Schizosaccharomyces pombe: one gene and its partner. The gene in region 1 interacts genetically with each later gene. Each region holds a gene or a part of one and is shown in the gene's direction. Other genes may lie near its edges.

Region 1 (4,989 bases):
GTGTCTGCAGTAGTAAAGTCACTGGAGGTCATTCTTAAATAAGAAGTAGAACATATATATCGAGCATGGCAACTAGCCAAAATATCAGAGTCCACTGTTCCCGGAGGAAGGTGAATAATTTCAAGATTATTGACTTGTAGGAAGTCGCTTGGAAGAAATAAATGTGACGTACTATACCTAGCATTTCGCTCAAACAAAGCATTTGTGCCAAACGAGATATAAAGTGGGTTTAGTCCATTGTGATCCATGGCATATTTCAATTCTTTTGACTCAGGCATAAAGGGAGCAGCGAGAAGAGCATGTGTGATTTGTTTGACACACGCGACATCTTCGGCAGAAGAGCTTAACGCCTGTAGCGCAATCCTCCTCCTAATATTCGATTTGGAAAGCAAAAGGGAGACATTTCCTACACGAATTGTTGCAGGAGAATTGTCATCGACTAATCTTCTCAAAGAATAAAGCTCATTGAGCAGCTTTTTTTGCAAATTGGAGATGATCTGCACATGTGGAGCGGTCGACGACCTGCGTATCGCCAACACAGAGCGCTTCCATGTTTTTATTCCAAATCTTAGCATAATTTCTCTGAGCCTATGAAAAACTAATCACAACAAAGGATCGCATATGAACCACACTAGATTCGAAAGCCAAAAAGGAACGAGATTACCGGATTTTAGATAGTATTAGTTAAAGTTCCAAATACACAATAAAACATTTACTAATAAGTTAATAATTCTTAAAACAAATACTATAGTGAATAATTGTTGTCTGATGGCACCCGAAGGTTGTATAGTAGTTGTGTCTATTGAGTAGTGTCGTAGATGTTATATCAAAATACCTTAACCCAGCAGTATAATATTCTTGGAAAATCATTGGATATTGTTAACCCTTAAATCTGTATATGTTTATTTATTTGTTCAGTCAAACAATCATAAAAACAAAAAAACAAAGAATTTTGCATTTTGTTAATTTAGACGAATTCATTGTTCATAAACAGTGACAAAATCCGAGGTTTATACAAGTATTTGAAGAAAACGGTATTCGACAGAATGAAGCTTTAAGTCTAAAATGGATTAGAAGGAACTGAAATGAGCTACATAAATTGCTCTTAATATTGGAGAACTGCTAACATTTATAACCTTTTTAATGATTACACTAAATCTTCACCTATTGCTTTTCACTTACTTTAATGGTCATTCGATTCAAACTTATTTTATCTAAATCTATTACCTTTTGCCAGTAAAATACTGTATAGTTAGTTAGCAAAGAATATAGGCGAGTAAAGCTCTAAACTATCATACTTCTAAAATCAAAGAAAACCAAAGAAAAAAGCAGATGAAAGAATTTAGTAACATCTGGATTTTGAGTAATAAACTGATTGACCTAACTTATTGACAGGTTGTGCGATATCAGTTGGTTTGCCAAAAACAACAATAATTGAAAATTTATGAATGGATTCACCAGAATATTAGCCTAATTGCTTTTTGATTCATTTAAGGAAATTCAACTTTTAATTTGAAATCAGCGAAAGCCGAAAAAAGGATGGTATGAATTTGAAATATTTTTTAATGCGAGCAGGTAATATTGACTTTAATAATAAAATAAAATAAAATGTCATTATAAATGCGATTTGAGGATTTAGTAGAGATATGGATAAAACAGATATGAACCAAACTGCATGAATATTAGGAAATCAAGTTGTAAATATAAAACAAGCATTTTTAAAAAAAAACAAAAAATATTACTCTAAAAATGTTAAGAGGTCAATTTAAGGTTTGTTTACTCTCATTTGTTATGGTGGTAATAGTTTCAGTCATGCATCATCGAAATGTAAACAAACAGCGATCCTATATATACCAAAAACAACAACCATTCCTTTCCATCACACATCTTTTTTGAGATAAAATGAACAATTCAAAACTCTCTGTCCCCGGACAGTATGAAGATGAAAGCAGTACTATATATGTAGGAAATATAGATTCCCGACTTTCTGATGAAGAAATCATCAAACACTTTTCAAAATATGGTATGAACACACAAGTCAAGGATAAAAACACGAGGAAAAACATTAGAAAACATAAATAAAAGCGATATATTAATCAATTCTTTAGGACAAGTAGAATCCATCTTTCGTCGATTACTTGATAGTTTTTATCCTAAGGAAAAAGCGAAACCTTTTAAACCTCCTAAAAATGGAGTGCAATATGGGTTCGTCAAATTCGTTAATGCTGAAAGCATTGAAGAAGTTCTAAAGGACGCTAAAGGAATGACTCTGGGCCAAAGAAAATTGTAAGTGACTGAAGGGAAAAATTAGAGACAAGCATTACAGAAAAAAAAATCGAAAAATCATTCTCCAAAAAATTACTAACCTAAAAAAAAGGACCATTAAAGCAAGAGTCGTAAATCCTGCGAAACTGACAGACAAAAAATTCAAACCTAACGATACGTCAATCACTGCGAACGTGTTCAATCCTAGCATCCAAAACAATACAGATGAGGAAAACGTTAAGCCAGGACTCAAACAGTCTCAGATTAAGGAATTTATTCCAAATGTCGAAGAAAGAAATTGGGAAACTGTGAGAGGCATAAATTCGCGTAACCCGAAGCCAGAAACAACGCTTACCATACCGTCTCTTGGTTTGGAAGATATTAGCATGCAAGTTGTACCAAATGCCTTCGCTTCTACGTTACCCCTTAGTATCTTGAACCTACCTGCCGAAGTCACACCGATTGACTTATATAACCACTTTAAACAGGCTGGTGTAGTAAAAGGGACGGCGGTCAGCCAGTTTCTTGACCAAAGAGGGTTCCGGTATGGCGAAGTGATTATGGATTCAGTTGAATCATGTCAAAATGTAAGCTCAATATGAAGAGAAAACCCCAATATTTGCATAATCTATTTCATGATACTAACCTCATTATTAAGGCAATAGAAAAATTAAATAACGTTCCATACAAAGGAAGCATTTTAGAGGTCAGTATAAAAAATAAAGCCTCTTCTTCAGTGAAGTCAATTCCCACAACGCCGACTGGTGAAAGCTTATGGCCTTTCCCATCGGAAAACGCTAACAAAACTCAAATAAATATCGAAAATGCTACATGTTCGAAGATGACATGGATTATGGGCTCACCAACTAAGGAGAAAAGCCAATGGGGTAGCGTTTCAACTACCGGTGTTTCAAATCAGCAAAATCATCCAGCCGCTTGGAACCCAGATAATAAACCTCAGTCAATCGTGCATTGGGACTCTTTACGTGAAAGCTCTCCAAGTATCCCTAATTCTCCTATTGACCCTTCAAATCTATACGTTAAAAATTTAGATGATACCGTCATCACATGCAAGAGTCAGCTGGAAGATTTATTCTCACCCTTCGGGTCGATTTTGTCTTCCATGTTAGCATGCTATCCAAATTCAGGAATCTCCAAAGGTTATGGTTTCGTAGCGTTTCGTCAAATAGAGGCTGCCGTTAGAGCCAAAGACACATTGAATGGAATGATGGTTGGGAAAAAAAGGATTTTCGTTTGCTTCGCGGAGCGAAAGTCTGACAGAATTCGTAGATTGCAAGCATTTTTTGCAAACAAACCTACTTCAGAACAAACAGCGCAGCAAGACAACAAAGCTTTGTTCGTCAAACCAGAAAGAAGCTCTACTGTTACCATCCGAAAGCCAATAGAGTCTTCTACAAACAAAATCTCTGAGAATCCCACGACCCTTTCAAGTAAGGTTGAAAATAAGAATGAGCCTAAGACTGGTGAAAACAAAGAACCCAGTCAGACAAATGAATATGTTAACTGTAAGCAAGAAAATAAGGAACTTAGTGGACAGTTATCAGGCAACTTGGATATAAAGAAAGAAGCAGGAAAATTGAGCCATGACGGAGAACAAGGAAACTTGTTAAAACCATTGGTATTCCATGCTAACACAAAACTAAATAACCGAGGGTCTGCTAAGATGGGTTCAACAGCCACCAACTTGAAGAAGATACAAGACATGCTTCACAACAAAAAGCTGAGTAATGCATACTTTGTGCCAAGAGCAAGAGCAACAACCTGTACAACTCTTACGTACGTAACAGTTGAGCCCTCACATTTCCAAGATGAGGACTGTAATGAGTCAACGAACATGCTTTCACTTGTCGGGTACATGGACAGCTATCCAGAAGCTACATCCAATATCCAAAAAATGAATTCCTATCATATTAAAGATTCAAATAAGGAAAATTTTTTATCAACAACAAAGGTTAACAACAATTCACCAACAACTATTCAGTTGACGCAGATTTAACAAGATGCGGTGAAGATATAACTATGAAACAAAATTCATAATGCTATATCCCTCAAAACTCCGATGAACAAACTTTTAACTCCTTAAAATATATACATCGTGAACGGATGGATTTGCTAGTATAACCCTACAGTATCTTACAACTACCACAACGTGGAATTTAAACGAAACCGTTTATTTTTAGTCTTTAATCAAAAACATTATAAGGAAATTTGATTTGAAAGATAATTCTTTATTAATTCGAAAGTTGACAGCTGGATCAGATTTGTTTAGAGATTTATGATTTTAGCAGGTTCATTGACTGACATCCAGTAGCTTGGTGACAGTTTGACGAACCAGATTAAAAACCATGAGTTCATTAATAGCGTTAGGTAAACGGCAAACATTATTGTCACATAATGAATTTTTAAATTTTAAAAATCAAAAGGGTTTCTGCAAAAGGTTTATTTCTCAACTAAACAAGAAATCCAATTTTCCCGCTCTTGCGATGACAGTTCCTGAAGCCACAAAATATCTCAAATCTGTGAGCATTTCTGTTCCATATGTTGGGTCTTATATGCTTTCAATTGCTTTAAAAAGTAATCGACGCGCTCCGTCAGCTCGTGGTCAAATTGCCTTTCCTCATCCATTTCAAGAGCCTCCTAAAATTTGTGTGTTTGCTAAAGGTGCAGCTGCAGATGAAGCTTTAAAATTGGGTGCAACCTATG
Region 2 (3,046 bases), on another chromosome or scaffold:
TTATGTTTATCTCGTGAGGTCAAACAAGATAGTGCTAATATTTCTTGGTGGAGTGGTAAATGGTATGGCAAAGGATATGGCTATCATGCCTTTACTTTGCCTGCTCGTGAATTTGTCTGTAAAGCCATAGAACTTAATTTGTTTGCTACTGATTTCTTCTTGGGTCACTTATTACTGTTTTTTATGCTTCCTGTGATTTGTATCCCATATATTGATCGTTGGCATTCAGTTCTTCTTTTCTGGTTGCGCCCAAGTCGTCAAATTCGTCCTCCTATTTTCTCTACCAAGCAGAATAGACTGCGGAAACGTATTGTTCGTCGTTATTCAGCCTTGTACTTTTCAATTTTGGTAATATTCCTTATTCTTATTATTGTTCCATTGGCAGCTGGTGCAGAAATCCGCCAAGGATTAACTGCTTCTGAGGCTGTTGCCAAGGGTGCTGTTGGATGGAACCAAACTAACTCTTCAATTGGTAGCGGTATCATTCAACCAAGGGACACGAATTATACTGCTAATTATTCTTTCTGGTACGACAGATACCATTTCGAATTCAATACCACTTACTAGATGGGATTATTAGAAAAATCATTTAAAATGAATTTGAAAAGATGCGCTAGTTCGCTATTATATTACACTGATGTTCTGATGAGCTTTCGTCAAGTATCTCAGCAATTTATTAATTTTATTTGTTACACTCATTTCATTCATACATTTCAGCATGTGCTTGGTCCCATCTCTTCGACTTGAGTTATTGAGCTCTGAAGGATAAAAGCAAAGCTAAAGGGTTAACCGTTTATCATTTTTTACTCATACCATCTTTCTATCTACGTTACATTTGCTATTTCACCATTTACAAGTTTGAGATTGATGAGTTTTGTTACAAGCCTTTTCAGGTTACAGTTTGATGGGCTAGGATTTTATGCATATATATACATTTCTTCATTTATCTATATACAAATGAATAAGAATTCCCATTGGTTCACAAAACTTTTACCTATATTATTGCTGGTCAGTTAATGGATATTTGTTTAAAATATAAGGTGATGTAATTGTGTAAAAGTATTGAAGTAGATTATGATACCGTACATAAATTGATCTTTTGGTTGAATACTTATTATCTAGTGAACGTTTAATTTAGGTTTTTCAGATCAATAGAAAGTTTGAAATAACCACTCTAGTGTGCAATTCCATTTCTCTTTTGTATCACACAAGTGGAAGGCTGAACAACTAATCAACTTAATCGTAAAAGTTATCAGACGCCCTATCCTTGTATTAGTTATGGATATCTGAATGGACTCATGATTACAAGATTACGAGCGTCCTTTCATCCATTTGATATACTAGTTGTCAAAACGATATTAGAAACTATATATGTGTACAAAATTTTATTTTTAACATATCATTTTCATTAAAAATCATCAATTTGAATTTCTTTTTATTTTAATTTTAAATCAGTTTAGTAGTTACCGTGCAGTGCGTAAATATTGAAAATTGAATCTAGGCTCATTTAAAGCGTTTTACTAGCGATAAATATAATAATGAAACATAAAATAACACGCACTAACTTGTTACCGCAGTCGAATGAAATGGAGTGAAAATAGGAAAGAATCCTTTTGTGGTTCGAATACCAATCTGGTTCTTGAGACAAACAAATCTATTAGGTTTTTATATTTTTATAGTAATGGTACAGCTATTCGGTGGGGCTCTTTGTGCTGATTTCCCTCCTAAATTTCTCGATGCTAGCGTTTTGCGTCAGATTCCTGACAACCAAGAGGTGTTTTTGCAAGATTCCAAGGAAAACCTAACAGTGATCATTGAGCTTTTGGAAAAAATTGAGAAGCCATTTGATGGAAGTGTGGCAGCTTACCATTTCAATAGCATTGCATTCGATAATGATGCATCTCAAAGAGTAATTTGGAGAGACAAAAGTCTTGGTGAAGACGACTTTGAGGGCATGAGAAGCGAAAAGGCTAGTGGATCTTCTGTACAAGGTTGTCAGAGGGTCCTTGAAAAAGGAAAGCGAAATCCTGAATCCGCTACCAATGTGGCAATCTTCGTGAATGTGATAACTTTGATTGACTTTCAAACAGATATCGTAATCTCCGTAAATGCTCCTTTACCTAACACTTCCTCAGTTCCCTCTTCTGTTGAAAACATTCCCCCTTCTGATCAAAGCATCGTTCGCGCTGCTCTCGAAACAATACAGCGAGTTACTCGATCTCTTGTACTTGTCGATAAAACAGTATTTGCTTAAAGGATGATGGACATAGGCAAGCAAATTAACTAGCCCACAACACTTAATTAAGATTTTCATCTAGGGAAATACTTTTCAAGTTTTATTTTTCTTTATCCGAAAGGAATTGTTTCTCTTATTTATAAAAACCGGTTATTCCAACTTGTATGAAGGGTTTTAATAAAAACATCTGATACTTGATAACCGATTAGCAATGGTTTTCACTTTTTCTGCTATTATTTTAATTTTCCCATTCTTCCATTGTTAATAGTATAAGTTTCACTGTGTCTTTACAGTTTAATGTTTTATGATTTGAGAGTACAACGTAAAACGCTAGTTTCCAAAGAATAACGGAAATTACAATTTCAAGGTGTTTTGATTGTACAGCTTTTGTCCTTTACACTGCCGCTGTAGGACAGTGGTGATTAAAACAAGTTAATCATAAAGAATTATTAAACATTAAAATACTTTCTAATTGTCCCTAACTCCGTGCAAGTAAAGAACAAATATAGCGAATGAAACAATCTTTATGATTGAAACCTGTAAACGACTGACTAGAAAATACTGAATAAGAATTACCAAAAGATAGAAGATCTCTTCATTGAGAGGAGCTTTTCCACCCTTTGCAATAAAGAAAACAAACATTTAGGATATCATCATACGAAGAAGAACAGAAAAGAAGTAAAAGACAGAAAGTTCATCCCCCAAGACGGGTTCCTTTTCCGGGGAAAGAAGAAAAGGTCGACAGAGGTTCCGCAATGGGGAGTTGAGCATGCGACAGTTGATCAAAAGAGTGATAGTTTTTTACCCAAG

Evidence for each region. Genes that interact genetically often act in the same process or in processes that back each other up.
Region 2: of crp79 (region 1) and mog1, a mutation in one rescues a mutant of the other (synthetic rescue), as found in Schizosaccharomyces pombe (one study listed by BioGRID).

What each region holds. Positions count from the first base shown.
Region 1 is NC_003424.3:1,791,886-1,796,874, reverse strand, and holds crp79 (poly(A)-binding protein Crp79), read left to right. Parts: upstream 1-1,902; coding exon 1,903-2,023; exon of another isoform or gene 2,024-2,108; coding exon 2,109-2,286; exon of another isoform or gene 2,287-2,377; coding exon 2,378-2,852; exon of another isoform or gene 2,853-2,923; coding exon 2,924-4,282; 3' UTR 4,283-4,442; downstream 4,443-4,989. Other genes in the region: protein Mmc1, read right to left, coding at 1-575; mrpl1 (mitochondrial 54S ribosomal protein uL1m), read left to right, coding at 4,632-4,989. UniProt on the Schizosaccharomyces pombe protein: Binds the poly(A) tail of mRNA. Involved in the export of mRNA from the nucleus to the cytoplasm.
Region 2 is NC_003421.2:2,246,800-2,249,845, reverse strand, and holds mog1 (Ran GTPase-binding protein Mog1), read left to right. Parts: upstream 1-1,640; 5' UTR 1,641-1,681; coding exon 1,682-2,254; 3' UTR 2,255-2,485; downstream 2,486-3,046. Other genes in the region: cell wall and secondary septum 1,6 branched 1,3-beta-glucan synthase catalytic subunit Bgs4, read left to right, coding at 1-567; Golgi rhomboid protease Rbd2, read right to left, coding at 2,931-3,046. UniProt on the Schizosaccharomyces pombe protein: Involved in the Ran-GTPase system for nuclear protein import and poly(A)+ mRNA export. Required for mitosis-to-interphase transition.